Linked DNA regions of Rattus norvegicus. The protein of the gene in region 1 interacts with the protein of each later gene in a pairwise test. Links are inferred from orthologs where the notes say so. Each region holds a gene or a part of one and is shown on either strand. Other genes may lie near its edges. The genes, in order: Pex16 and Pex3.

Evidence for each region.
Region 2: the proteins of Pex16 (region 1) and Pex3 interact in binary tests that used the Homo sapiens proteins (3 or more experiments, as listed by UniProt). The link is inferred for Rattus norvegicus from reciprocal best matches to the Homo sapiens genes PEX16 and PEX3.

Annotation. Positions count from the first base shown.
Region 1 is NC_086021.1:98,800,106-98,815,269, forward strand, and holds Pex16 (peroxisomal biogenesis factor 16), read left to right. Parts: upstream 1-2,639; 5' UTR 2,640-2,735; coding exon 2,736-2,847; intron 2,848-3,042; coding exon 3,043-3,078; intron 3,079-3,809; coding exon 3,810-3,886; intron 3,887-4,222; coding exon 4,223-4,356; intron 4,357-4,486; coding exon 4,487-4,587; intron 4,588-5,372; coding exon 5,373-5,453; coding exon of another isoform or gene 5,454-5,470; exon of another isoform or gene 5,471-5,495; intron 5,496-5,575; coding exon 5,576-5,728; intron 5,729-5,813; coding exon 5,814-5,886; intron 5,887-5,970; coding exon of another isoform or gene 5,971-6,011; coding exon 6,012-6,131; intron 6,132-7,234; coding exon 7,235-7,299; intron 7,300-7,798; coding exon 7,799-7,857; 3' UTR 7,858-7,986; downstream 7,987-15,164. Other genes in the region: Frey1 (protein Frey 1), read left to right, coding at 9,721-9,824, 9,981-10,054, 10,222-10,346; Mapk8ip1 (C-Jun-amino-terminal kinase-interacting protein 1), read right to left, coding at 11,110-11,182, 11,465-11,563, 11,665-11,735, 11,910-12,026, 12,154-12,263, 12,505-12,677, 13,058-13,133, 13,269-14,081 and 1 more. UniProt on the Homo sapiens protein: Required for peroxisome membrane biogenesis. May play a role in early stages of peroxisome assembly. Can recruit other peroxisomal proteins, such as PEX3 and PMP34, to de novo peroxisomes derived from the endoplasmic reticulum (ER).
Region 2 is NC_086019.1:9,765,417-9,779,785, reverse strand, and holds the start of Pex3 (peroxisomal biogenesis factor 3), read left to right. Parts: upstream 1-5,306; 5' UTR 5,307-5,389; coding exon 5,390-5,462; intron 5,463-11,788; coding exon 11,789-11,920; intron 11,921-14,369. Other genes in the region: Adat2 (tRNA-specific adenosine deaminase 2), read right to left, coding at 1,257-1,361, 4,921-5,016. UniProt on the Homo sapiens protein: Involved in peroxisome biosynthesis and integrity. Assembles membrane vesicles before the matrix proteins are translocated. As a docking factor for PEX19, is necessary for the import of peroxisomal membrane proteins in the peroxisomes.

The DNA.
Region 1 (15,164 bases):
GTGGCCCCAAAGGTAGTAAACTCAATGACTTCCTGAGGCAAGTTCCTAAGCCAAGCTTGCCTCGTCATGCCTTCTGAGCTAGAAGACATTGCCATGAGCCTTTTTGGTCAGAGTCTTGCTGTGCTACCTAGGCTAAGCAGTTGAGCCTCCCTGGGCTTCATCTGTGGGAGAGTTCCCACCAATCAGACAAGGTTGATGTATGACTTACTTTTCTTAACGATGTGACAAAAGAAACACCTGGCAGAGTAAGCTTAAGTGGGTATTTATTTTGGTTCACAGTTTAAGGATTTAATGAATGCATCATAGCAGGGAGGCCGTGATTTCAAAAGCCACAGACAGCTGGCCACATTGTATACACAGTCAGGGAACAGAGAAAGACAATGCAGGTGCACAGCTTGCTTTCTCCTTCATTCAGCTCCGGACTCTTAGGGTACAAATATCCAGACTGAGGCCTCTGGATTCAGTGTTTCTGGAAACACATCCATGGACACACTCAGAGATGTTTCTATAGTGATTCTAAACCTACCAAGCCGACAATGAAGATGGAACCATCACAATTACCAGTAGGGCCAGGAGCATGTGAGGCCTCAGGACAGGGTGAAGGAAGACTTCACAGTGCCCATACCACAGACTCTTCTGAGGCTTACCACACCTTTCCGTGAAACTTTGCTGACACTGGCATGAGTGTGGTTGGCAACAGCGGGAGCTTGGCTCCACACTGATTAAAGAAAGGGAAAGAGGAGCTGGAGAGATGGCTCAGTGGTTAAGAGCACTGGCTGGTTTTCCAGAGGTCCCGTGTTCAATTCCCAGCAACCACATGGTGGCTCACAACTATCTGTAATGGGATCTGATGCCCTCTTCTGGTGTGTCTGAAGACAGCTACAGTGTCCTCACATACATAAAGAAAAGGAAAAAGAAAAAGAAAGGGAAAGAAGTGGAGGTATGTTGTGACTTCCTGGTGAGTGTGCTGCTTAAAATGGCCCTGCTCTGGCTAAGACCACAGCAGCATTTCAGTCATGACACAGCAGGCACTTTAAAAATTAACTTAGATTTGATTTTTAAAAACAAAGTCTTACTCTAGCCCAGGCTAACCTGGAACTCACTACATGGGAGAGGCTGCCTTTGAACTTGCAACCATCCTCTTGACTGACTCCAGAGTGCTGGAATTACTTACAGGGATGTGGCGCTAAGTCCAGCTTTTTATTTTAAATTTTATTTCATTGTGTGAATATGAGTTTGGCCTGCATGTCTTTATGTATAATCACATTTGTGCCTGCAGAGATCATAAGAAGGCACTGAATGCCCTAAAACTGGAATTATGGAGGGTTGCAGGCCACCAATATGGGTCCTCTGCAAAAACGAGTGCTCTTTTATTCCAAGTCATCTCTCTAGCATCATGCCCAGCTTTTAAAGATTACTGAATGAGCATTTCTTAACCCCTGGCCCATCTCTCCAGCTCCCTTATGAGAATTTTTATTAGTGTATGCTAATTGTACAAAACAATGTGCTTCGCCTCTTGTGCTGGCACATGCCTTATAATCCCGGCACTTGGGAGGCAGACTTAGGGCAGATCTCTATGTATTGTACCAGCCAGGGATACACCGTGAGATCCTGTCTTAAAACAAGCAAACCAAAATAATGGGTTTCATATGACATTCTCGTACATGCATGTAATATACTGGAGGGGCGTAATTGGACATATTCTGCCCTTGTCTGAAGATAATATCTACAGGGTATTAAATAAATGTATTACAATTCTTTGTATACCATATATTCGCGGGGGGAGTCCGCAATGGCGCAGACTTGCCAAGCCCCCTCTTCCCACAGCCAATCAACTGCCTCCCAGGAGCGATTCCCTCCCTCCTCTTCTGCAGCACCTGGACTCTAGGCAGCCTTGTAGCTCTGTTCAGGAATGGATCCTTAGGAGTTACCACCAACCCTTGGGGCACAGCTGAGAGCCTGGAAGTGCATCCAAGGGCCAGAAAATGCTGGGATTCGTTCCGAGTTCAAGGTCCAAGTCGGGCCCAAATAATTTGTAGATGAAACCCGAGGTGCAGATCAGGAAAGCTAATGCGCAGGGTCACCCCTAAATGGAGAGCAAAGGGATAGGCAGGGTATTCTCCGCGTAGGTTGTCATCGGGTACGGGTTTTGGGGGTCCACATGTTCTGAAGAAGCTGGAGCCGAAACCATTGTCCTAAATCTGCTGGCTAGGTTTGCCTGTTTCCCGGGCACCGGTTTTTGGAGACTGACGGCTGCTGAGACCCATTTACAACAGTTTCGAGGTTCCCTGTGCCTTAAACCCCAAGCTCTTTGCTTCCCGAACCTCCCGTTCGAGCTCTCGGCGATCTGCTGACAAAGTCTGAGGCTTCGTACGCCCTTCTCTAGTATGAACTGTTTAGGCTGCCGTCAAGCTGTAACTGCGCAGGCGCCAAGACAGCCAACCAAGAAGGCTGAAGATTGGGTGCCGGAGGCTCTAGGGAGCTTCAGGGCGGAGAGTGAAGGAGCCAATGGCTGGAAGGAGGGAGGGTGGGAGCTCACAGTCGCGGGGAGGAGGCGCTAGAGATGGGGTGAAGGGGCGTTCAAGGGTTCCGCGCGTCTAAGTAGTCCTGGGCTGCGGAAGTTGAGCAACTTGGAGGCGGGCCTAGGGCCGGAAGCAGGAAGGAGGGCTCAGGACGCAGGGCGCCGCTGCCAGCAGTGCTGTCGGCCGGTGGGACTTGTCGGTGGCCAGAGCAGGATGGAGAAGCTGCGGCTTCTGGGCCTACGCTACCAGGAGTACGTGACTCGTCATCCAGCCGCCACGGCCCAGCTGGAGACGGCTGTGCGGGGCCTCAGTTACCTGCTGGCAGGTACCACACTGACCTTTGACCCATTTCTTCGGGTCCCTGACCATGAACCCTATGGCCCTTTTCCTGCTGACCCATGGTAGTGGTCACAGTGCTTGACTTCTGTCCAGGTTCCTGTGGCGTATAGGACACTAGGAAACCCAAAGCTGCAGGGTAAAAGAAACGCCTCACCAACGCCTTCTATACCTTCTTCCCTAGGTCGCTTCTCCGATTCCCACGAGCTGTCTGAGTTGGGTGAGTTGAACTCTGGGCTGGGGAGAGAGAAGGCTTCCAGAGGAACCCTGGCTGTAGGTCCTGAGCTTCCCTCTAGATCAGCTGTCCACTGTCCAGTACACTTGGTGTTTCCAGAGTTAGGAGACATGTGAGGACTTTGACTGGCTATTCGCAACTAGTTTTGCTCAGGATTAAGCAACTTTCCTGACCTTGCTAGTCATCAGTCCTCTAAGTATAAGAGAGGTTCTGTTGTTCTGTTAAGGGAATGAAAGTTCAGTGAGGCTGGAGAAAAGTCCTTGCTGTCAGGGCCAATATTCAAATGTCACAACCTCCATGCCATTTAAGTCCTCAGCAGTGTTTGTTTAGTGGGATAGTGAAGCTTGTGAAAGGATGAGGCAGGTTTTGAAAGGGAGGTGTGATGTAGCCCTTCAGGGGGACCATCTGCAGAGAGCAAAGGTGGGGGTGGTGGGGCCACGCACTTGGCTGTTTGGAACATGACAGGCAGTTCTGAGCAGCTCAGTAACCGGTGCTGTCCAGCAGAGCAAGGGCTGGCTTGTCACTCTAATCAGCTCATTTCTTATTGGCTCAGATGTCATCTTGGAGAGAATGGGGCTCTGAGGAGGTGGGAGGAGAGGCTTGTTGGTTTCCACACAGTCTGTGGGTAGCTGTGATTGGTAGAGTTCTGGGGTAAAGGTGAGAGGGGTGAAGGCCACAACAGAGCCAGCCTCTTAAGACCACGTTCTGCTTCTCAGTGTACTCTGCCTCTAACCTGCTTGTGCTGCTCAATGACGGGATCCTTCGGAAGGAGCTTCGAAAAAAGTTGCCTGTGGTGAGAATTTTACCAGGAGCTGAGGGTGGGGAGCTCAGGGACTTGGGAAGAAAACAGTAATGACCAGCATGTGTGGCCATGTTGTAGTCTCAGCGTGTGAGGCACGTCCACGTGAGCCTCAGACCAATTGTCTCACGCATGAAGTTTTAGAGAGCTAGAAAGGCCTGTCCCAGGCCAGCCAGCCTGGTAGCAGTGGAATTGAACTCAGGTGTTAGAACTCAGTGGAATTGAATTCAGGTTTAGAAAGGGGGACGTCCCCACCTGCTGGAGCAGCCCTCTTTCTCTAGGACAGCACTTGGGGCCAGAGAAGCTCCCTGACCTCTGGGCTTCTTGCAGTCGCTGTCCCAGCAGAAGTTGCTGACATGGCTGAGTGTACTGGAATGTGTGGAGGTGTTCATGGAGATGGGGGCTGCCAAGGTGTGGGGCGAAGTAGGCCGTTGGCTCGTCATTGCTCTCATCCAGCTGGCCAAGTAGGTTGGGTTGTGGAGGGCAGGATTCTGGTGGGGTGACCCAGTCCAGCAATGAGGGTGCTCAGCAGAGCAGCCTTGCTGCCGGCCTTCTAGCCACTTTCCCCTAACTGCGCCATAATCCCCCAATTAGGGCAGTCCTGCGCATGTTCTTGCTGATCTGGTTCAAGACTGGCATTCAGACATCACCCCCCATTGTGCCACTGGACAGGGAGACCCAGGCACAGCCCTTGGGTAAGCTGCTTCTCTACCCGGAGTGGAGTGGGAGGTGGGGCTTCTCTGTAGTTCTGGAGCACACTTCCTGTCAGCTCAGCACTCATTTATTCCATAAGGAAGACAAAGACAAGATTTGAGGAAAATTAGAACTTAAACTTGGGGGGTTATGTTTGAGATCCTGGCGCTCAAACCCAGTGTCTTGTACATGTGAGGCAAGTGCTCTACCACTGAGCTACACTCCCGTCCCTGCACTTGGGACTTGTTCAAGATCCTCCTTCTCTGTTGTGGGCTGCAGGAACTAGGGATAGAGCATCAGCACAAGGTAGGCGTCCTGCCAAAATGTTTGGTCCTGGTTCTGTGTCCTGAACCGTAGCCTCAAGAGGCAGGGCCAGGGCGCCTGGCTGCTTTGGGCCCCTCCGTCAGCCTCAGTCTTTCCCCTTACCTTGAACAGGGACAGTGATGTGCCTCCCACATTGAAAGAATATGGCTTCATGGTCCCATAGCCCTGATAGATGTTGATGGGATAGGCCCTCCTCTCCTTCCTCCAGTATCTTGGAAGCCTAGGCTCTTGGTTGACTTACTGTGAGAGATGGTGGCCTCTTCTGGGCCAGGGTCAGTTCCCGAGGGCTTCCATCATGTCTTGCCGATCAGTCTCTGGGTGTGATTTCCTTGTTCAGCCACTGCCTGAGGACAGGCTCTTGTGTTCTCTGAGTAGCTCCTTGAGCATTCACTGCATACAGGTTCTCTACAGGCTCTGTTAGGAATGTATCCCTCTTATGTTATGTCCTGTCTACACCTGCTAGATGGCGACCACAATCTGGGCAGCCCGGAACCGTCATATGTGGGAAAACGGTCAAACAGAGTGGTGCGAACCCTCCAGAACAGTAAGTGGAAGATGTAGCTGGACTGGGCACCTAGGTGCTGAGGTCAGTGTGAGCCTGAGGGACTGGCTTCTGTCATCACCCACTTTGGCTCCTGGCTCACTTGCCTTGTCTTTATGTTCTAGGCCCATCCCTGCACTCGAGGCACTGGGGAGCCCCCCAGCAGCGGGAAATTCGGCAGAAACAACAGCAGGAGGAACTGAGCACACCCCCAACACCTCTGGGACTGCAGGAGACCATTGCAGAGTCTTTGTATATCGCCCGGCCCCTGCTGCACTGTATCCTTAGCTGTGCTGGAGGCGGGCTGGGGAGGAGCTGAGCTGGACCCTGCACTGGAGACATCCTTGACATCTTGACCGTCAGTGCTCAGCCTGGGCTTATGGGGTCAGCGATCGTGGGCACCCTGGCTCCTGTCTGGTGTGGTGGATATGACTAGGTGAGAATGGGTGAGGAGGTGGAGTTCCGTGGGGCTTTCTGCTTGCTGTGCAGCTATCCTAGCCTGTGACTTTTTCCTTCTCAGGGTCATAGGTCATCCTTGTCCCTATGTCCCTTCCCCTACAGCCTGAGTCTCCTGAGCGACAGGAAGAACTTGACCCGGAGGGAGCGGCTGGAACTGAGGCGCCGCACAATCCTGCTGCTGTACTACCTATTGCGCTCACCGTTCTATGACCGCTTCTCTGAGTAAGGACTGTTGTGTGGAGAGGGTTGGCGTCTGCTGAATACCTGCTGGTTTTGGTGCTGTCCAGGAAGCAGCCTCCAGAGCCACCTGACCTACCCTCAAAGGAGACAGGCCAGTGTGAGCTTGCATACTTGGTGTGGAGAGACTACTGACGGTGTGGTACAAGGTCCACAAGGCACAGCTCATGCAGACCACCCCTCTCTAGTTCTTTTCACTATAGGTTATCCACTTCTCAGAGCAGGCGCTATGCTCCAAAGGGGCTAGGCAACCGAACAGGCCCCAGCTAGGCTGTTACTGCTGGGCCCACCCCACATTGTTCACCTGTGAGGATCAGAGGCCCTGCATTAGCCAGAGAATCTCTCAAAAAGGCCTGGCAGGACACCTATGATGTAAGGTGGAGTGTTGGAGCAGGGGCTGGGCTCATGTTCTCACCTGTAAACAGTGTCAGTGATGGCGCCCATCTCATAGGCCGTGTAGGGTGAGGTAACTGAATGTGTTTGCCCATGCTTGATACATAATGAATGAATGTGATGAATCTTAGGTCTTTCTCCCAGTACTTCTGGGAATCAAACCTAAGGCCTCATACTAAGCAAGTGTTCTCCCCCTGAACCACATCTGCCACCCACACGTGTTCTTCCAATGTTCCCACCTCAAGTTCTCCTGTGGGAAGTCCCATATCTTAAACAAGCCTCTCTTTGAGGCAGAGAGGACCTTTCTCAGCCTTGTCCTCTTCCCAGAACCCTGACTACTCTGATCATTGGTTTGTGGGGTCTCTATGTAGCCTAGCCCTTCTACCAGCTTCCTTCCCTCTAGAAACTGCCAGGGCACAGACCTTACTATGAGGTGATCCTTAGGAAGCACTGTTGTTGAGAACCAATAGTAGGAAGGTGAAGAGGGGTGGGAGTAGAGGACAGTAGTGTGAGTGATGCCTGCAGCTGACAGCTGACCGCTATGAACATTGGGTGTAGCTGTGGACAGGTGGAGTGCTGGGGTCCAGCCCAGTCCCTTGTTTTCTGAAATGCCTGCTGGTCAGTAAAGGTCTTTAGCCCCTGGTGAGCAGGGAGCCAGCCCACCCCTCAGCATGCTGTTTCTTTTCTCCAATCAGAGCCAAGATCCTCTTCCTGCTTCAGCTGCTTGCAGACCACATCCCTGGCATTGGCCTGGTGGCAAGTAAGTGTGGATAGGACAACGTGGTTGTGAGATGTCCCTGAGACACAGAGGGCCTCATTTTAATGTTTGCTCTGTCTTTTTTTGGTTTGATTATTGGGCAGTCAAGAGTGAACCCTAAATCAGTACTGGGAGCTCTAGGGCCTAAGGTGGCCCATGGAGGTGGGGATGTGGCCAGAACAGTGTTTGTGTGTAGGATTACTAGGCCACATCAGGTTGGCAAGCCTCCTCCTGCTTCTGGAACCTGAATATTTGGAGGCAGCCTTATCTGGTAAGGCAAGGAGGGGCCTTGGGGCCTATCTGGGTACCCGACCATAAAGGAGGACATGCCCCTTGCTCCCTGGAAACCTGGATTCTTATGTGTAATTAGTCTCCAGCATCAGAGGCAGGAGATGCAGCAGGTGGTACACCTGTGAGCTGCTCTGCTGGTGGCAGTGTAAGAAAAGGGCACAGGGCATGCCAGGGGCCTGACTCAGTCTAACTCCCCTTCCCTCCATTGCAGGGCCACTCATGGACTACCTGCCCTCCTGGCAGAAAATATATTTCTACAGTTGGGGCTGACAGGCACGCAGGAGCTGGTCCAGAGTGGGCCACGTGGTGTGCTCTGTTGCTCTGAGCAGGGCCTTTCTCAGCCCTCCAATTCCCCCCCAGGCCCCTCTTCTCTAATAAAAGTGACTCTGGTAGTATCCAGCACGCGGCTCTGTGTCCATCAGCCACACCTCTCCTGGCAGCTCTGCTCCTCAGTCCCAGTGACCACAGCTGTTCATCTGCACTCTCCTGGGATGGAGCCATTGCATTCTGCTCCTTGTCACTGGGCAGGAGGCCTCCATCAGGTCCAGGGGGCAGCTGTGACTTAGCCTTCTCCAGCATGGGTCACCATTTGCCTCAGCTGCCTGACAAGATGCTTCTTTCTCATTGGTCCCTGGTGAAGACAGGCTGAACTAGGCCACGGATTTCCATAGTCTAGCATTCCTTGTAGCTAGTGCCTCAATGTATCCTTTCCCCTCAGGGCTGAATAGCAAGCCCTAGGAGAAGCTCTTCTCTATGGCAGGAGATAGAGTGTGAACCTGAGTCTGTAAGAAAATGGGCAGTTTCTGGGGGGTGTGCTGGAGTTCCCCTCCCTGACACTCCTACAGGCTGACCAGCTGATGAAGACTGAGAATGCTGGAGGCTACTTGGAGAAGACAGGAGGGCCTGGCAGAACTGTGGCCTGAACTTTTCTGTTCTCAGTACGTGCCTTTCCTCTCTTCTTCTGCCTTCCCTTTCTTTCAGACAAGACATTCAAGGGCCTCAAACTCAATGGCAGTCTCATTGTGGGACCATAGGGCTACCTCATTCCTGTCCTTTTGTTGTGTGGACTATTCCCAGCATTGGTGCCACTTGACTTTGGAGAGCACTGTCTGCCCCTGTCCCTCAGGTCTCCCCTCCTCCAAGATACCCTCATGGTCCCAGCCTTAACCTGTCATGCTTGCCACAAGATGCGGAGAGTCACAGACCCCTGCTGTGAGCCAGGGCAGTAGAAAAGACAGCTAGCTTGTCGTCGGGTTTGTCAGCTTGGAACTTGTGACCCTTCTGCTTAGCCCGACAAGCATCCTCTGGGTGCTTGCACTGTAGTGGGCTTTGGTGCCATGCAACGCATAGTTCCTGCCCTGTAGGTGCTGACTACCAGAGGACATTTGTGTACATGCTCTGCTGGGATCTTGGAGAGGGCAGCAGTGTCAGGCAGCACAGTGGCAAGTGCCCCCTGCAGTGATAGCAAAGGAGAGCAAATCTCCTTTCCCATCAGGCTGTGAAACAGACACCAGTCGTCTTGTTCTGGAGCTGGATGGGGACTCAGCCACCAACTTACATTCTAGCCCACAGCCATCAGTGTTGTCAGTAGCCTGGCAGGACGGCCACTGTGGAATCTTGGTGGAAGTGCTGTGGTATAAGGGTCTAGGCAGGTCCCAGCAAAGGTCTGCAGGGTTTGTCATATGATTGGTGTGGTGGGCAGTGGGGAGAGCAGCTGTTGAGCGATCTTCAGCACTTCGTGGTGATTGGGTTGGTGGGCAGACATGAAAGTGAGCAGGGGCTCTGACGTTAGGCATGACAGGGGAGAGGCTCAACCAAGGCACTGGGACAGGAGACAGATAACCCCAGCAGACCACAGGGACTCCATGTGGGTTTGGTGGCGTCCAGGGGTCGAGTGATGGACAGGGCTTTGGAGTTGGATAGTATGGAATTCCAGGTCCCGGGAACAGAAAGGAGGTATGTCCTGGCAGGGACATGTAGGACAGGGGTCCTCTCTAGGACACAAAAGGGAGGTAGTGCGGGTGTTGAACCCTGGAATTAATGTCCTTTGTGAGGTGGCCCTGAGAATTGGCACCAGGTTCTGTCCAGTTGGGGGAGGGGCAGGTAGCCAGCACAGCAGGGACTGTGTAGGAGATGGTTCTCGCCATGCTTGGGGTTCTGTACCCCAGGGCTGGGCTCAGTCTCTTTCTATTTTACCTCATCCTGGCAGGCGCACTCCTTCGACCTCAGCCCCAGAGGTAAGGCCACAGCCTTAGGGCCTCGAAGACTCTGGAAGAGGCTGATCACTATCCTGGGAAGGGTTAGTTCATGAAGTCTTCACCCCGGACTGTCCCTCATAAAGAAGTGGTGATGGCTTTTGGGGTTAGGGCTCAGCACAGCAATATTTTCCATAGGTCTCAGCGATCTGTTCCTGAGGAATTTTCAGCTCCGCTGGAACTGTTGCAGCCTCTCTCAGGCCTGGTGGATGGTAGGGTAGTAATTCTCTCCCCTCCCCCACCCTCCACAGCAGGTGTCCCTAGATGTCCCCTAGGGCCAAGCCCTATGTCTCCCTCTCCCAGACGGCCTCTTGAGAGTTGGCTACAGCCCCATTCCAAGTCAAGCAGTGTTTCCACCCTCATCCTCTTCTTTCTTCAGACTACGGGCTAAGACCCAAGCACCCGAGGCCAGGTGGGCCCAGACCCCTTCTCTCCCAGGCCCAGCAGCGCAAGCGGGACGGGCCCGACATGGCTGACTATTACTATGATGTGAACCCCGCATAAAGCTATTCTGGGCAGCAAGTGCTTGGCTCCATAGCCTATGTGCAGTAAGAAGGCCCAGCAGGGGTCCGAGTAAACACACCCACTCTGGTCCAGACAAGAAATGGCACTTTAATAGTAGTAGCCAGGTGACAAGACAGTGACCAGTTGGCTGGGGCCAGCTGAGAGGGAACCTTCCCTGGCAGGCAGGGCTTGCTGTGGCCCTCTCCTTCTTTGAACACACAAGCTTGCCAGGGTCAGCGTGCTGGCCAGGCTGGAGGTCGGAGCTGCCGGAGGCCCCACAGATGAGAACAGGGTCCTCACTGTCACATGTTGCCATTTCCTTACTGGAAAGTCCTTCGGAGGTGCTTGGGCTCAGCATGAGCTCAGGGCTCTGGGTGAGGTGGACAAGGGAAGGTGACACTTCCAGGTGGCATGGGCTTTGTCAAGGCAGGACCCAAGAGCCAGAAAGCCAGGGCCTCTAGTATGAAACAAGGCCCAGGATGGTGCAGCGCCTCTGTCCCTAGGGGATCCCTTTGTGGCCAGATGCCTGACCCCCACCCCAGCCCTGCCCTTCCCCAGCCCCGAGAGAGCCTGTACTGTCCTCCATAGATTAATCTAACCCCATATATTACAATAAACTGCATCTGCCTCTCCCCAAACCCCTGCCCCCCAACCCCAACAGCCCTCACTCCCCCATTCTCTCGTGGCAGTACAACATCCTGTCAGCAGTCAGCTGTCCTAGTACTGGCCTGGGGCTGAGGGGCTGCAGAGAGGGGGGTTGCTGCTACTCCAAGTAGATATCTTCTGTAGGACAGGTATATTCCACAAATTGCTTGTAGAACTGCTGAAATGCACGCCTGGAAAATGGGGGACACAGGAGTGACCAGGAGCCTCAACCCAGGTTCTTCAAGAGGAGCTTTGGGTCTCTGGTACAGACTAGCTGTCCGTGGGCAGTTATTTCCCAAAGAGAAGGGGAGCAGTGGCCAATCAACAAGGAAGTAGCCCAGAACCTCGGCTTCCCAGGACCTCCCAGCCTCTGCCCGGATTGGGGTTTCCAGAACTAGAGGGAAGGGGTGATGCTGACACTGAGCACAGATAGGACAGCACACTTACACACACACTTACACACACACACGTACCCCACAGACTCTGCCAGGGCTTTGGTGGAATCTTCAGACACAAAGACATGGCAGGCAAACCGGTGGTCAGCAGGGTGCTTAGTGATAAACCCAAAGTACCTGTGGAAGGCAGGCATCTGTGAGACAAGATTCGGAGTCCTACCCACCCACCGTGTCTGAAGACTACCAGTGAGACTCTCGTGTCTGCCCCTTGTACTCACTTGTTGTTCTTTGGATGGTACCCACAGAAAGAGATGTTTTTTAGCTGGAAAAAGTGGCTACATTTATTTCCCTACAGGAGTGAAGAGAGAAGCAAGATGGTCAGCTTGCAGGGGGAAGCAGGCAGGAGGGGCAAATGCAGTGTGGGGGAGGGTAGGCACACAAGGAGAGGAGAGACACGTCAGGCAAGAAATAAAGGGGAGGAGACATGCATGGGGCAAGAAGGCAGGGGCTTGAAGGAAGTCACCTTGGCCTCCTGAGCTTCATCAGCTTTGACACCTATCTTGACACCCCTAACGCTGATTTCAAGGACACAGCTGGAGGGCGGGTTAAAGTGCACGGTGAGCCGGCGGGTGGTGGCGATCTGCATGAGGGACAGGGTCAAGTTGGGAGCTGTCCCACTGTCACAGCACTGCCTCCAGGTCCACAGTAGTGTGGGCTGGCTGAGAATAGGCACCCCCAGGAAGAAACAGGGACCCAGATGTTGGTACCTTTTGCATAGCAGCACAGAGGACATCATTGCCCTTGTGATAAGGAACCTGGACAGAGCCCAGGAACTTCACCCGGAACTGGTCAATCCAGTCGCTGTTTTTGGCAAGGGCTGGAAAGCAAGCATACAATAAGCAAGAGAGCCATCAGCAAGGGGCTCAGAGCCGAGACAAGGAGAAGGCAGCGTGGAGAGTGACCGAGGCAACAGAGACTCACTTGGCTGGGCCTCACTAACTTTAATGGAATCACCTCTACTCTCTCTCTCTCTCTCTCTCTCTCTGGCTAGCTAAGACCTGTGGTAAGTTGGTGGGCAGAGGCAGGGGTGGGAAGGCCAGAGTGGGGGAGAGCACTACCTGCCATGTGCTCAGGCTCCTTGGTGACCTCAATGGCATAGTAGGCAGGAAAGACACCACGGGCTCCAGTGCGCATGTTATAGGCCTCATACCAATAGTCTTCTGCCTGCAGCTCCACCAGCAGAGGGTCGTCCACTTCCAGCTCAAGTTCATCTTCATGCCGAGGCACAAACCTGTCCCAAAGGCGTGTGAGGCACGGCTCATCTGGGGCCCAATCTGGGGTCCTAAGCCACTGACATTTGCAAATTACCCAGGTACCTGTCACGGTGCTGCCTCCTAAGGAACACATGATACATGTGTCTGCTATCCAAAAATTTAGGCTTCCCAGAAGCCTAAAGCCTTGGGAAACTTGAATGAAAGTGAGCACCTTGCCTAGGGCACAGGTTCTATGCGGGGCAGGCATCTCTCTGGCCCCCAGGTGTACAGCCCTAGCTTCTTCATGACACTTCGGTCCTTGCCACTAAGCGGAGTTCCTGTACGGGGATATGGTCTCCAGCAGCTGAGGGGATGCCAGTGATGAGCTGGCAGAGGCAAGGAGGCAGGCAGCCCTCACCTGAATATAGCCCGATGGGTTTGCTCATGCTCCTCCCCATTGATGACACAGGAGAACAGCCCAAAGGACTCGGCACCTGTAGGAAGGCAATAGGTTGGAGGAGGTGTCCTAAGCTTGGAGCAGGTAGAAAGCTCTGTCCTGCTCTCAGGCAGACTACATGGTCTCTGAGGCCCATTCGGGTTCCCACACTGCTCCCCATCCACTGACTCACTGGAGGAACGAGAGCGGCCACTCATGAAGACATTCAGAAACTTCTTAGAGAAGTGGACGTCAGGCTCATCCGGTGTGGAGTCCTCTGACAGGCAGGTGGGAGGCCGGGGTTGAGGGGCCTCCTCATATTCCTCACCAATGGCTGACTCGTAGGGCGAGGAGGCAGAGGCACAGTTGTCATAGACAGTGGCAGAGTCGCTTTCGTCACTGTAATCTCCAAAACATGGCCGCAGGCTCACCAACTCAAGCTGGGCATGCTCATCCACCACCAGTGTGTACTTGACAGAGTCGTAGGACAGTGCGCTGGTGTCCGAGCTCAGTGAGGCCCGTGGAGGCGGTGGTGGCTCCCCGAGGCTTCCCCGCCACCCTCCACCTGGTGGCTCAGCTTGCTCTGGGGATGACAGACAGTCGAAGCCCTCATCCTCTTCACTGATGGAAGGGTGCGGTCGCCCTGCAGTTACAGAGTAAGCGGCAGGGTCAGGATCCGAGCTGACAGACATCCGGCTCTCAGTGGGTGGCAAGAAGGTGGAGGTGGGTTCTGCAGGGTCTGGGGGCCTCTGCACTGGGGTCAGGTAGATCTCCTCAGTCGCCTCGAGCCGCACATCTGCCTGATAGTGGATTCGATCTCGATGGGAGTGGCCCCGGCCACCAGGTGCAGTGGCAGGGGGACCACTTGGAGGTGCCATCTGGGTGGCTGCAGTACGGCGACAAGGGCTGTCGGTGGAAGTGCCACGATCCTGGGTGGGAACAGGACTGCCCTGGGGCGGCAGCTCATCACTCAGGCAGATATGTTCATGTGGAGGCGTCTGCTCCCCTAGAAGACAGACAGGCAGGTTGGTGCTGAGGGCAGAACCCCAGTCCAGATACCTGTCCCCTCCTCTTCCCAATTGTCCTCCGCCAGCAGGATCTGCAGCCAGCCACCGGCTCCCAGATGACCTCAGCCCAGGTGAGCCAGGTGAAGACTACAGGGTCCCCAGCTTGGGGAGAGAGAGGCCTGACTTACCTGTCTTCAGAGGGGAGGATGATCGAGACACACGGTCCTGCCAACTGTGCTTTTTGCCTAAAGAGTTATTATTCAGCGTGTCCTGTGCAGAGAACAAAAGGCTCTTATGAAGAAGCAGTAGTCAGCAGTGCCCGGCACAGGGAGGCCCCGGTCCTGCCCCCATCAGGCCATCCCTGGGCTGTTCCCACGCCATCTTGCTTTGCCAAAGCCTCTCTGCCAACCACCCTCCAGCAGGCAGGAAGGGTGGGAAGTTAGCACCCTCCCTACAGGCCTGCTGGCTGGGAGACAACCCTCAAGAGATGCAGAGGTGCTGGCCAGTGTGGGTGCTGAGGAGCAGATGCTGGAGGGAGAGCCCAGCTCCCAGGAGAACCACACAGCAGCCCAGGCACTGAGGGGAGCCATGATCCCATGCTCAAACCCAGCCCTGGTGAAAGACAGGGTGATTGACTCCCTGTCCTGGAGCTCAGAAAGCTGGGGTCTAGCAAAGTGGAAAGGACATTCTGGCACAAGGAAGGGTCTCCCCAGGAGCTGCCTGTGGGCCTGGATGAATCATTCAAACCATGACTCCATAACACTCACCCCCACTTTGAACCATGTGACTGAGAAATGACAGATGTAGTATCCGCAGCCCTCCTTCCTGGATCTCCCAGAATGCTCATTGCATCCTACGTTCTCAGCCTCCTGAGACCCTCAACAGTGCCCATGCACAAGGCTCTCCACACACAACTTGGGCTCCCTCCCCAGGAAATGCCATAAGCAACACACACCATTGATGAGCTGGGCTGCCAGAAGCCATGCCAAGAGGATACTGGGAAAGGGACCAACCCCTTCCTTGCAGCCCCTGCACCATCCATTAGCAGCCCTACCTCCTCAGCGCCTTCCCTCCCAGTATCT
Region 2 (14,369 bases), on another chromosome or scaffold:
ACATTGCTGTTACGTTACCCTAAGTCCGTCTGGTACTTTAGAACCATAAAATGTTGCACGGCACTTTCACCTACTTCCACTTCCCAGATGTGTCCACTGTGACACACCGCTTGGATGTCACCGTTAAGAAGCATTGTTTGCTAAAAAAAAAAAAAAAAAAAAAAAAAAAAAAAAAAAAAAAAGCATTGTTTGAAACAACGAACTTTCCAGTCTGCGCACAATGACACCAAATTATCAAGGCTGAAACACAGGTGGTTGAGGACAGCTCATCTTGGAGGGCTTGTTTGATTGAATACCAAAAAGAAAAAAAAAAAAAGGAAAATGTTTCCTCTACTGTAATCCTTTTATGCTTCACCCTCCCATTTGTACATTGAAGGCCTTTCTTTGACACCCCCTTAAACAAACAAAACAAAACCTTAAAGAAACAGAAGCTTTGCAAAGCAAAGGTGAACTTTCAGGTTGAATGTTACCAAGGTGCACTAGTTTCTTCTGGGCTGATATTCTGATGTAACAAAAGTCCTTTTGTTTCGCTCAAGTGTTAAAAGAAAACATAATGAAATTCCAAAGATGTAACCCTTTGTTAGCTTTTGGTTAAGGTCACAAATGCAGAAATGGCAAGTTTATCTACTACGATCTTATAGTTTCCTTTAACTTTTCTGAAAATTTGATACCTAAAACAAAACAAAAGTCATTGCATCATTGTTCCAATCAGGGAAAAAAATAATAATTTACAAAGGAAGAGAAAAGATCTAGGGCTGGAGAGATGGTTTCTTAAGTAAGGTGCTTTCAGGGGAAGAGAACGGGAATCTAGACTCTCCAAAACCCATGAGACTACCCAAACACAGCCATATATTCCATAGACAACCCCAGTGCAGAACACAGGAAAAGCAGGGATCCCTAGGGTTTGCTAGCAGCTAGCTGAGCTGAACTGATGAGCTCCCGGTGCAGGGAGGGACACTGCCTCACGATACCAGGTGGAAAGTGATAGAGGAAGACATCTTGACCTCAACCTGCATCCTTCATGCACACGCACTAGCGTTCGCACACACACTACAAACACACACATATGGGAGGGGGACAGCAGGAACTGTTCCACAGCCTACACACACACACACACACACACACACACACACACACACACACACTAAGCGGGAGGCGGGGCAGGGAACTGCCCCAGAGGACACATTGGCTCTTGTCTTGCCAACTGGCCCCACCGTGGCCATAGTATGCTTCTGTGTTCTCAGTGCTCCACTCACGTTTTTTGTTTGATTCACTTCATTTCTTCCCTTCCCCACAACTTCATTGTTATAGACCATGAGGCAGCCGACAGGAACTTCAATATTCTCGAGTGCTTCTTTGGCCTGAAACACAAAGTGGAAAAGCTGAGAGGTGCCGCTCAGCGCTCAGAAGGCTGTGGATAAAAACAGACGCAGTGGGAACCGAGGGGTGGACAATGACCTGGGCAAACAGACACAGCTGTGCTTTCCCCGTCTCAACGCTGGTGTCTTTGGACTGTGATGTGCTGTGTTCTCTGCTGGGTGTCTGTGTTAAGGAGAACTCAGGGATGTCTCCCTTCCCAGGTCCTGCGCCTCATTTTCTCTCACCGAAAGTCTGAGTAATCAATGGCTTTTGACCAGTGTTCCTAAAATACCAAGGCCGCCCCTTCTCAGAGATGATACCCATATTTGCAAAGAGGTGGGAGAATATATAACATGTGTAAATATTTGGCTATAATACTTTGCCTTGATAAACTTCTACTTGATTAATTCTTTTAAGCTTCTCTAAGATTGTAGATATGATCCCATAGAGTATCAATACCATAAAAATGATCAGACTGGATGTCACTCTTTCCCACAACTTTTATTCTAAGAGACACATGGAAATTTAGGGATATTTTATGTAACGATGACACCAACTTGGAAAATACATTGGAAGTTTTTAAAAAAATAAATATTCACAAAAATCTATGATCCATGTTGCACGCACGCATACACACACACACACACACACACATACACACACACACACACACACACACACACACACACACACATACACACACACACACACACACACACACACACACACACACACACACACACTAAGCTGATGAGACTTTAATAAGTTCTTCAGAGTCTTCCAATGAGATTTCCCTGGTTCTGATAGTGAAGCAACAGTTAGACAAGGTGTGACACTGAAGAACATTGAATGCCTGGGCCCTCTCTGTGCACACTTTTTGCAGTTTCCTGTGGCTTACAATTATGTAAAAGGGAAAAGTCAGTAACTGAGCTAAAGAAGGATGTAGCAAGCCTACTGATGAAGAGTCAGGCAGATCTGTTGACTGTGTAGAAGACCCTAGGAAAATGCAGGCCAAAAAGAAAGGCGGTGTCAGTGGTGTCAAGGCCGAGACAGAGGAATTTCAGGTGGAGCGGCGGAAATGAAAAGCAATGGCTTGAAGAAATGACTTCCCAGGGCTCAGATTTTCAGTGTTCCACTGTACCTCCCAACAGAACTCTTAAGAGGTAATGCCATGTCTACATCTCAAGATGCATAGGTTGAAAATCTAACTAGCTGTGTGTGTGTGTGTGTGTGTGTGTGTGTGTGTGTGTGTGTGTGTGTGTGTGTGTGTATGCACGCATGTGCATGGTTTGGTCTGGGACTATTTTGAGCATTTTGTAACTATAAATTCCTTTCGTGTATAATCCGAATGTGATAGGGGCACTGAGCATCATTGGATAAGGAAACCAAAGCAGGGAGGTCAAATAACTTAGCCATCTAAGACATCTGGAATAAAAGTCATTACTCCATTAATAGTTGGAACAACTATTAGTGTCAGGTGCTGGGTTCTTTGCATCGCTCTCTCTCTCCGAAGCCTCTTTAGTAACCCGTTCGGCTTCACTGACTAGACCCTTCATCAGAGTTTTGGTTCGGAGGAGAGGGAGTAGTAAGAGGGAGGGATGCGCGATAAGGCTTCTGGTGAGCCTGCATCCTGGACCACTGAATGCGATGTCAGGAGATACAATGCCAAGAGCAGCTCCGAACATACAGAAGAGAATCAAAGACTGGGCCAGCAAGATGGCTCAGCAGGGCTTGCTGTGAAGGCGTGAGGATGAGTCCCATCCCCAGAACCCACAGTGGAAGGAGAAAAATATCTCTCCTCCCAAAAGTTGTTCTGTAGTCCTCAGACACATGCGAGCACACACACAGATGCACCCTCTCCACACATACACATGCACAAATAATAACTTATTTTAAAACTCCCCAACATGGTAGGAAGCACATAGGTAGGGAATGCCTAAAGCATTATCCACAGTGCATCCGACATGCTCCAGAACACTGCTTGTCTTGGCAGCCTTTCTCTGCTCCCAGGTCAACAGAGTACTGGGCTTCTTGGTACCTAGTGCCTCTGGGTCCTCTCTTTTTTTTTTTCCTTCCAGCAAAATTTATCTCACTAGAAGTGACAGGATTACCTTAAAGAGACATAGAACATAATTGATAAGGCACGACTTGTAGGCCAGGATGCTAGGGAGTAGCTGAGCAAATGGAGTGGCAGTTGAGAGAAAGTGACGCCCAAAGAAAGCGGTCTGTGGAGGTCGATTTAGAGGAATTGCTTCCCAGTACACATACACATACAAATGTGCATGCATTTCCTCTACTGACAAGTTCAAAACTCGAAGCTGAAAACCCACATCCAATCTCAGATTTTCCAATGCCCCTCCCAACTCTTCCAGTTAGTCCCTTTCTCTTGTCACAAATGCAAAAGAGCTGGGTCAAAATAGGTCTAACTGGGTACATGGCTTTGAACTTAAGAAGCTAGCCTTCTTTGGAAGAGGTCAAAGCTCTTCCACTGAAATGGAAATGGCGACTTGGTCTTCCTTAAACCAACAAATTCTCAACTCAAGAACAGAAGAATAAAGGCTCTCTTCCTCCCACCCCAGGCTCTGAGAAAAATGACCAAAAAAAAAAAAAAGGTTAATTAAAAAAAAAGAATGAATTATGCTATTTTGGGGGAGGGGGCGGAGAGCATGTTTCTGTTTTCACAGGGACAGAAATATATGAAGGGTGCTTACAAAATATCAGCAGGGCTATCTCTGAGGTCAGGGCTTTTAAGTAACTTTTACATAATTTGTTAAATGTTCTAGACTTTAATTTCTTATCAATGTGAACTTCCGTAACCATTAGAAGGAAACGTTGAAAATTTCAATTTTGTAAACGAATAAGCAAAAATAACATCCCTACATCAAAGGCTGAGCTTAGTTTTTAAGGCCTTCACAATGATGTAAACAAATTCCATGATGTTCACAGAATGAAAACCCAGCATCAGAAAGACTGTGCATACATACATATATATCCTTGCCGCACATCAATATGGGTAATAAGCTTGGAAAAACATGTAAATACGACCAGGGCCCTCCATAATGAGCAATCCTAAAGGGATTGCGGGAAGGAAATACAAGGGCAGAGAAAAGTACTATAGAAAGCGTAAATACATCATCGGTGAGGATTATACTGGGGTATGTTTTGATATGACCCTCTTCCAGAAACATCAGCTTCCTTCCATTATATATGTTCAAGGGCGTCGGGAGCAAGCCATAAAATAATGTGGAAAATATGTGTCCACATGGAAAGGAAGGTAGGCATTTGGGTAGTACGTATCCCCAGGCAGCAGCTAAGGCTCCCTGTAATACATACTACACATCAATCAAACAGTCTCTGTAATTTCCCTCAACTCCAATTACTATGAGACAAAGCTAAAGAAAATTCCTCTAGAATAAAACAAGCTGTTGCTTCAGGTATTTTGAGAGCCCATATATAATGGTGATGAGAAAGCGCGCCAGGCACATTTGCTCAAACTACTCTGGTCAGGATGTGGCCGGGAGAAAGTTTGCACTCTCGGCATCCACCTGCCGGGTTCCTCACCATTCGCATCGCCTCCTCCATCCACTTTTCGGTCTCCTGTACGGACACCACGCACGAGCCGTCTGGAACAGTGGTGGACTCCACTTTCTCTTCCATATCGCCTTCTCTCAGAGACTCCGGGCCAAGGGACTGGAGGAAAGAGGACAGCGGAACGCGGCGGGCGCGGGCCCTTGCTTCCGGGAAGACGGAAAAGGGCGAGGCACCCGGGAGCTATTTGCGGACGGACCCAGGTCCGGATCAGTAAGCCGGGGCTAGGGGACCGTAAGCGTTGCTGCTCCGCTGTAGTCCACGCCCCCTTCCTCCGCTCTGGCTACAGCCTCTGCGCAAAGAAACGTTTGGGGTTTCTGAAGAGCACCTAGCGCCGCCACCTCGCTTCTGCCAGAGATCCGGGCCAGATTGACGGAAGACACGGTTTCCTGGTGAGCCAGTCCCTCTCCCCTAGGCAACCCACACAACCCGGGGTCTGAAGATGCTGAGATCAATGTGGAATTTTCTGAAACGTCACAAAAAGAAATGCATCTTCCTGGGCACAGTCCTTGGAGGTGAGTGACAACACGGTTTTAGAAGGGGCCATTGGCAGAAAGGAGTGACAGGTGACATAAAACAGACAGGGCCCCCTGATAGTAGTTCTGGATTTGTCGAAGGGATTGGCCCAACTGTCAAAAAGTTCTTTTATCTTCCCTCTCTGTGCCCTTTACCCCTCATTCTGACCCTGTCCTTTTTCCCTCACGGGCCTTCAGGAATCTACCCCCAATGAAGTTTATTTTCAAAGCACTATTCTCGTATAGATACATTGCCTTCCAATTCTCTTCTTTGCCTTCCTGATAGATTTTTCTTTCTGTTTGTCAACTCTGCTTTCAACCTTTCACACGAGTTTCGAAATATTCTAGGGCAATTAGCTTAAGTCTGCTCTTTGATGCGGTGTTTAAAGGTACATTAAAAACAGCATGTTGCTGTAAGGTATACAGTAGATAGTCTCCATTCCCAAATTTTAAAATACAAAGTATGTATCAACACAATGCTTGACTGGGTTATTCTGCAGTGTTGCCAGGACTGGCAAGGTTGTGGTCATTGTCTTTTTGGTGATACAGTTGAGTTCACTGGCTGAGAGGAAAGTTAGAAACACCTAGGATAAAATATCATGATGCTGGAATTGTAACATTGTGGTAGAGCACTTGCCTAGGCTGACTGCGTTGGATCCCAGGGAACTAGCAGCACACACACACACACACACACACACACACACACTGCTTTAAACCCTTTGTCTTGGTAAGACAACCCTCAGTTCATAATTAAAGGTCTTTAAAGAAGGGAATCTTTTGAACAACACAAAAAGGAAGTTTAAAAAAATTAAGTTTTAAGAAATGTTATCACTATATATATATGTGTGTGTGTATGTATATATATATATCTTAAATTATATCATAAAGTGACTTAAAATATTAGATCATTAATAAGGCAATGACCATGTTCTGCATATCTTTAAGGTATAGCACAAATGGCTAATAGTTAATAATCACCCTTAGGAAATATTCTATAGATAAAATATGTTTTATATTACCTCTATTCTCTAATAAATTGTACCCATATTGTAGAATACATATGTTGAAGATAAAGTCGTATGTGTCATGGAAGACATATTAAGAAAAATTTTTGCTCTACCTAAGTAAAGAAAATTGTCCCTAGCAATTTCAGAGAAGAGAGCCTAACCCTTATGGTTTATGAAGCAGTTAATGACAGATCAGAAATAGTCATAGGAGAAATTAAAGAGTATGTGGTTAAGTAATAAGTTTTTTTTGAAACTCTATTGAGAGCTTTATAATTGGAGATTAAGAGGAAGGGAAAAAACTGGGAGTGGTGGCACACACCCTCAATCCCAGCATTTGTAGGCAGAGGCAGGCAGCTCTCTGAGTGGAGGTGTGGTCTATACAGTGAGTTCCAGAATACCCAGAGCTTCATAATGAGACCCTGTCTCAAAAAACAGAAATAGGTAAACAGAAAACAAAACACAACAACAACAAAAGGGAGGGGGAAAGATTCAGAGGTGTAGTGGAAACACTGTTGGTTTTTAGCAAAATAGAAAGTTTTGAAATAGCTGAACTTAACCTTTTTTTGTACAGAGTTCATATTTTTCTGTATTTTGAGGAAATTCCTATCCTACATTTTAAGAAATATTTATTAAGTGATTATACTGCTGGGGACAGTATGATTGAATAGGTATAATATATGTATTTTTAATCATATATTTATTAGAGACTCACTGAATGTTGAACAGCATACTAAGTTCTTTCCAACTTCTGGAAATGACAGCAGGATACTTATTATTTGGCCATATTTTAAATGTAGAAACTAGAGTTCCCACACCCTAAGAAACTTGCTAAGAGTTTGAGTTACTAATAAGGAAATAAGAATTCAATCCCAAGTGTGTTAGATCCCAACACATATTATCATTCATTACTCTACTACTCTGCCTTAGCAGATTGTTTAATGTTTAAAGAATGAAGAGATAAGTAAAATACTGTTTACAGACCACGGTAGAGTTGAATACAGAGCCCAGTAGTATGCAGCAACCTGGAGTTACTTAAAATGAGGCAGATTTCATAAGAGGAGTGACACATTTTGGAAGCTGATTAAAGTGTTATTATGCATGATCAAAAGAGATATTTAGTGCTGGAAAAACACAGCAAGGCAGAACTTTGAGTTGTGTGGCTTCTAAAGTCAGAATTCCTTCTTCCCTACATTTCGGATGGTAATTGCTGCTTGTCCATTCACACAGTTAGACCGCTTGAGGCGGGAGAAGAACAGTGGTTCTCAAACTGTTTGATGGGAAATCTTTATACTATTAGAAATTAAGAGCACCCCCCCCAACAGCCTCCTGAATTCTATATCTACTTGAGAATTTAAGGTTAAAACCAAAGGTATTAGCTCATTTAAGGTAACAACAATAAGCCTATTAAATATTAATATGAAACATTTTTGGAAATTAGTGAGAAGAATGGCATTATTTTACAATTGCAAAGGTCTTTAGTTTGGCTTAACTGAAGAAAGCTAAATTCTCATCCCTTCTGTAGTCATGTATGATGCCTCCCATTAAATAGCTACTAAAATCCTCCAGTGAACACTCAGGATGCCAGTCCCAACATCTCAGTATGACACAAATATTTGTGGACCTCACGGATCCCTAAACTGACCCCAGGGATGCCAGGACCATACTTTGAAAACCACTGGATAAGCGAAAGTGTCACAGAACAGAGGAACTGGATTCCCACTTAATATCTGGTGATTTTTTAAAAGCACAGAACATGGAGTTATATCTTAAGCCTTGGAATTTTTAACCTCTTTAGGGATTTTTTTTTTTTTGTCATTTATCGACTTTCCGTTTGAACAAGAATAAGGCCTACTCTAACTCTACTGGGCTATAGTCTGGAGAGCATACATGGAAATAAAGTAATCCACACTGTGAATGCCTTCCTTACTATGCCATTGTGTGTAATGCGGGCAGGATCTGTGTGCACTTGCTTCTCAGTCTTTGCTATGGATGAAAACCATTTAAAGTGCTTCAGAAAAATATAGACTCCTTCCTTCAGATTCTATTTCTTCAGGTGTAGAGTATAGTTCAGGAACGCCTCAATGCTGAAATGGAGATGTCACCAAATGGACAAGTTCACTACTCAGCACTGAAAAAAGATTGAAATAGAATGCAAACATTAGAAATTGGGAATCTGCTTGATTGGAAGCAATGTTGATGGATTATTTTCAAATTGTTATTGAAAGTAGTTGTGCTATAGGAACTTTTCTCCTGGAAGACAAAACTAAGAGATGGTTTTAAAACAAATGATTTATACAAAGATATTTTGCTTAACTGGCCATGAAAGGAAACATCAAAACATTTTCGCTTTTTTTTTTTTTTGGTATTTAGTAGATATTTTAATTGCTAATAATGAAGATTATTGTAGCTATACTACAGAGGAAATTTACAGCTATTTGATTTTACACATGAAAAAGATGTCTATGCAGAGGAGTAAGCTGCCTGCTCCAAGTCACCTCACCAGCTGGCTGGTTCACGTCACATTGCCAGTGAAGCGGAGGCAGTCTTAAGTCTGTCTTAGCTAATGGCAGTTTTCTTTCTTTCATTAGTGTTTCCTAGAGAAACATTAGAAGAAGTCAGTTTGTGATTTTTATATATGAGATCCTAAGTGAACTAGACCTTGACTCGAAATATCAGTGCTAACTCAAGAAAAACAGTTTGTCTAGGACTTAAGCCCAATTTCATGTGTGACTTTTCTAGGGCTTCCATAATGAAACCTACCAAGTGAGAAACTTACAAAACTAAAATTCATCTTATACTTTTGAAGTTAATAGTCCTGATCAAGGTGTCTGTGGGTTTGTTCCTTCCGTCCTGTGAAAGGGATCCTACTAGGCTGTGCCATGTGGTGGCCATCTTGTTTCACACTGGCTTCTGCAACTGAATACTGACTGCTGGAAAGCCACAGAGAACTTCCAGAAGCCTTCAAATTGTCTTTCCTTTGTACATATCTCTGTCTACCTTTTACCTTCCTCTCAGGACTGGCCGTGTGGGATTGAGGCCCACTGATCTCACTTTGTATTGACCTTTTGTTCTCAGGTTCAGTATATCAGCCTGTGGCACGGGACAGCAGTGCACACAATTAAGCCCATTCTAGCTTTAGCTAGAATATACTGCACTTACCAAGTAAAGAGTGTCACATCAACGATTCATTTTGCAACATAACTTGAGAGATAATAATCACTGTGTGTGTAACCTTCAGTAATATGTTATGGAGATAAGGTACAAGCAGTATGTTCAGAACTAGGTGAACCAGAATTGCCTGTTGGAGGGTCACTTTGCTAAATTTAAGTCAGTTTCTTCATTCTCTTGGGATCTTTGTGGTGAGGGAAGGGGAATAGGTTCTCACAGTATATCCCAGGTTCCCCTCAAAATGGTAAAAAGCCCTCCTGCCTCAACTGGACTTATGGGCATGAGCCCCATATGCCTCTCTTATTCTAATGGCTGTGCTGCTGTGATGTTACAGAAAAGACAGCCAATGAACAGCATTTATTGATTTCTCTTTGCTCTTGGAGCTTAATTATAATGCATGTATTTGTATGTGTAGTAACAACAACCATACTATTCCTATTCAGCACACAATTTTATGGAACCATCTAAAGATACATAACATCTTAAATCATCCACAACATCTGATTTAGTGAAAATAATTTAGGATATATTTGCTTTGCAGCTCCTGATGTCTACCTTGTCCTTGCTTGTGAGAAACAGACCTAATCCAACTATGTTAGGCATAATTCTTGAGGCCTTTTAGGAGATAGTATAAGCCCCAGACAGAGGAGATAAATGAATGATGGTTAGCCCTCTGAGCCCTTGCTGCTAGGATTTATAATGAAATCAAGCTCTGGCACACATTGATACTTATTAGCAAACAAAAATGAAACAATAACACAGCCTCTTCTATAAGCTTGTTGAATTCTGACCTTTGGCACTATGACAAAATCATGTACCCAAAACAAAGGCAACTCTGTCATTGCTGTAACTTGTTGGATTTGGAGGACTTTTCTGGGTTCCAGGTTAAGCCATCCCTGAGGAAAAAGGCCTTGCGTCCATGTTTATAGAAATGGTACTAAAATGTTTCAGCTCATCAAGTTCTTAAACGCTTACTGAAATAGTCCGTGAATCCACTTCTGCTATCCATTGTACTGTTTAGTAAACCCTCTGATGCCAATCCGAGATAGTTAGTTAAAACAAGCCATCTTGTGTGGGGGACTGCCTGAGGAAAGTAGTGGAGCACAGGAGTGGAGAGAAGTGAGAGTGGGGAGCAGGGCAGTGGTGACTGTGATCTCAGTGCGCTGTTACATGTGTGGAACTGACCAAAATAAAGGAGATTCGACTGCCGCTGCATCCTCACCACGTTTAACACTGAATGCTCATCAGATTCCCAGTTAAGAAAACCAATGGCCACTCACCCAGTAGATGACAAAAATGCACCCCCTTACATCCTGTGCTGAAGACCACACAACCCTGCCATATTTTACACCGTTGTGTTACGGTGCTGTCTTCCTGTTTCCTTTGTCATTTGAATTAGTAGTTTGTAGACAGCGTAAGTTATATTTTCTTATTTTCTCAGATGTTTTTCTAATACAGGGGTGGATAAATGCATGTCTTCCTGACGATATACCCTTCTCTCATTCCTTTAAATCTTTTACTGTAGAGATTTTTAAAGTTATGTGGCCATTGACGACAACATGGAAAATATAGAAAAGCAAACACAATCGCAATTATCACAGTTTATCTTACTTTAGAAATTAAGTATGTACTTTTCTGTGTATCTGTTCCATTAAAACACAGACTTCCTGGATGTTATTTTATCACCTAATAGTATGAGGTAGATCTTTCCTCGACTCATTAACTATTTAGCAATGTGGTTTTTAATAACTACATAAGATACCATTATGTGAACAGATCATAATTTATTTAAATAACCCTCCGTTGCTGAATGTTTAGAATATTTTCAATTAACTATTAAAGATGCTGCCAGACTTTATAAATCCAATGCCTTTCTGCTTCTTGTCTGTTAATGTCTTCTTTTTTTACTAGCTATATTAAAATATATTATATGCATGTAAAATAAATAAATAAATATATAAGTAAACACTGTATCTCCTTTCCCTTTTCAGTTCTTTAATAAAAGTCTTTTAGAAACTGTATTTTCAGCTTGTCCCTAGTATCAACCTCATGATTTAATCAAAAGTGCTTAAAATATTGGTTAGAATTTTTAGTACTCCAGTTAATATACTACTTTGTTTTGTTTTGTTTTGTTTTTTAAATGACTTTTAGGAGTCTATATCCTGGGAAAATATGGACAGAAAAAACTTAGAGAAATACAAGAAAGAGAAGCTGCAGAGTACATTGCCCAAGCTCGGCGACAGTACCATTTTGAAAGTAACCAGAGGACTTGCAATATGACAGGTAAGCAGACGCATATATGTATCTATGTTAAAGTGCTTGTTGGTTTGTATTAATTCATAGCCTCAGGCTCCAGTGTATGGGAAAGATGAGGAACGTGTGATAAACCTACCCAATAGTCCTGTTAACAGAGATATGTAATTTCCACGTGAATTTTTAAAGCCGTATAAATACTCACTTATGCATTCATTCAGCAGATATTCACAGTGCCTGCCCCTGAGTGAGTAGGCAGTAAACAGAGTAAGATCCCCTGAGCTCCAGCAGGTTCTAGTGGAAAGACAGCAAACAGCACAAAGGTAACCTTAGGCTGCAGTGGACCCAGTACAGAAAGGAAAGCTGGGAGGAGTGGACACCTCTGCAGAGTGTGGTCGGGGGCTCGTGCCTCTGACCAGATGGCCTGTGCTGTAAAGTCTCATGGTACAATATGGAGAGAAAATGCCTGAGAGGAGAACATGCTAGAAACATTACAAGAACAGCACACAGGCACTGCAGCAAGGGAAAGCAGATGAGTGCTAGGAAGCAAAGCTGTGGAGAAAGGCCTGACCCACCCATGCGGCCTCGTAGGTCACAGCACAGAGCCCAAAGCCTATTAGGTCTCCAGCAGGACACTGTAGGACATAAGCATTCCGCGACAGTGTCTGCTCAATCACTTAATTAATGGTAATAATGTAACTACCAGAGCCAGAAACCTACTGGGAAAAGGCCACAATACAGTCAGTCTGCTCAGTTTGAAGAGAGTAAGGAGTTAGGTTCTAACTGGGGTGATGCCTGGAAAACCAGTTTCTCAAATCTACGTCAAGTCTGCTCCTTCTACTGTTTAAAGCCTGTTTTTTTCTCTCTGACATTTCTTTAAAGGCTACCTTAGAGGGAATTTACAAAGCTCAGTGTATCTCATTCCGCTCTACGAGTAGGCTTTTCTCTAGATCCGAGAGGACCTTATTGCTAGCTCACTTACCTCACGTTATAGAGGAAAAGCTAAGGTCAAAGAGAAGATAAGTTCACAGCTATATGCGAGTTTATTTTTGGGTTTATATAGGGTTCTGTGAAACCCTATTCAGAAGTACTGGCCATAATGACAGCGCATGCGCACAGCCAGGATGACTGGGGCTCTCGGGAGGCTGATACCACCAGATCAGTTTCCAGTTTAAGTTGTATAATCTGTGTTCTTTGGGCTAATCTGAACCTCAGCTCTTCCTGTAAAATGACCTTTATAAAACTTCCTTCAGAAATGTATTGTGAAGGACCCGGGATATAGCTCAGCTGGTGATGGTGCTTGCCTAGCACGCACAAAGCCCTGGAGTTTGATCCACGTCCTAGCACTTGGGACACTTAGGCAGGAGGACTGTTTGATGGCAGCAGGGCCATATAGCTAGTCCCTGTTTAAAGTAGAGAAGTAGTGTGTGAGAAGACAGTGAGATTCCCCACATAAGATGCTTGGCACATAGACACTCGGCGCGTGGACTTAAAAATCACCTTGAACATGCGGTGCTACTGAGGACATGTCAGTGAGTGGTGAGAGAGTGTGAAGTCTGCTTCAGATGATTGTGCAAGTTTTCACAAAATAGTAAAAGGTCACTTTTGGGATCTCAAAATACCTCTCACTTTGGCAAAACCCTGTGTCATATTGCGCCTCCCAGAATCAAATGGGAAGATGTACAAGCAATGCTTGGGGGAAATGCCTATGAAGAATAGTAGAGAGGGAGGAGGAACAGGAAAGAAGGTCTCTGACACTTGGGGAAGGAAGAAGTGGAGGTAAGAAATACCAGAGCCAGGCACAGTGGTCCATACTTTTAGCCCCAGAGACTAACAGAAGGCAGAGACAAACAGTTCTTTATGGGTTCAAGGCCAACCATGTTCCAATACAGCTATAGTGAGACTGTGTCTAAAAAATTAAAAGCCTGAAATGATTCTTCCCAGTCTAAGAAAGCTTGGTGAGTTACCAGGTCCAGTTCCCTGGTAGAGGAGTTCCCACAAGAGTACTCATGGGCTAAGAGATGTGAACACAGTAATGAATCTGCTGCTTCATTTCACTGCTCTTAGAAGGTGGAGCTGACGCATGTCGTGACCACCACAACCCTCAGCAGATACCAGACTGCAGACAATTAAAAATAGCATAGCATGAAGGTAAAATACAAGTTCTCTAAAAAGCTTGACAAACTAACTTCCTGGTATGCATTTACAAGAGGATGCAAATAATGTGATTAGCCCTCTGACTTAGAAATCTTTGATGGGCAGACCGTCGGCATGGAGGGCTTCAGTTTTCATCCAGGAGAGGTTAATGTCAGTTTATGAGGGAATGCTTCAGGGGTTTATCCTTTTCCTTTCTTGACTGAGAATTTACTGAAGACTGAGGAGAGAAGCTCATTACATTTACACATGGCCTGATGTTTATTTGTGTAACTGATATCACTAATAAAGTTTCAGAATACAAAATACATTTTGTTTTTTGGAC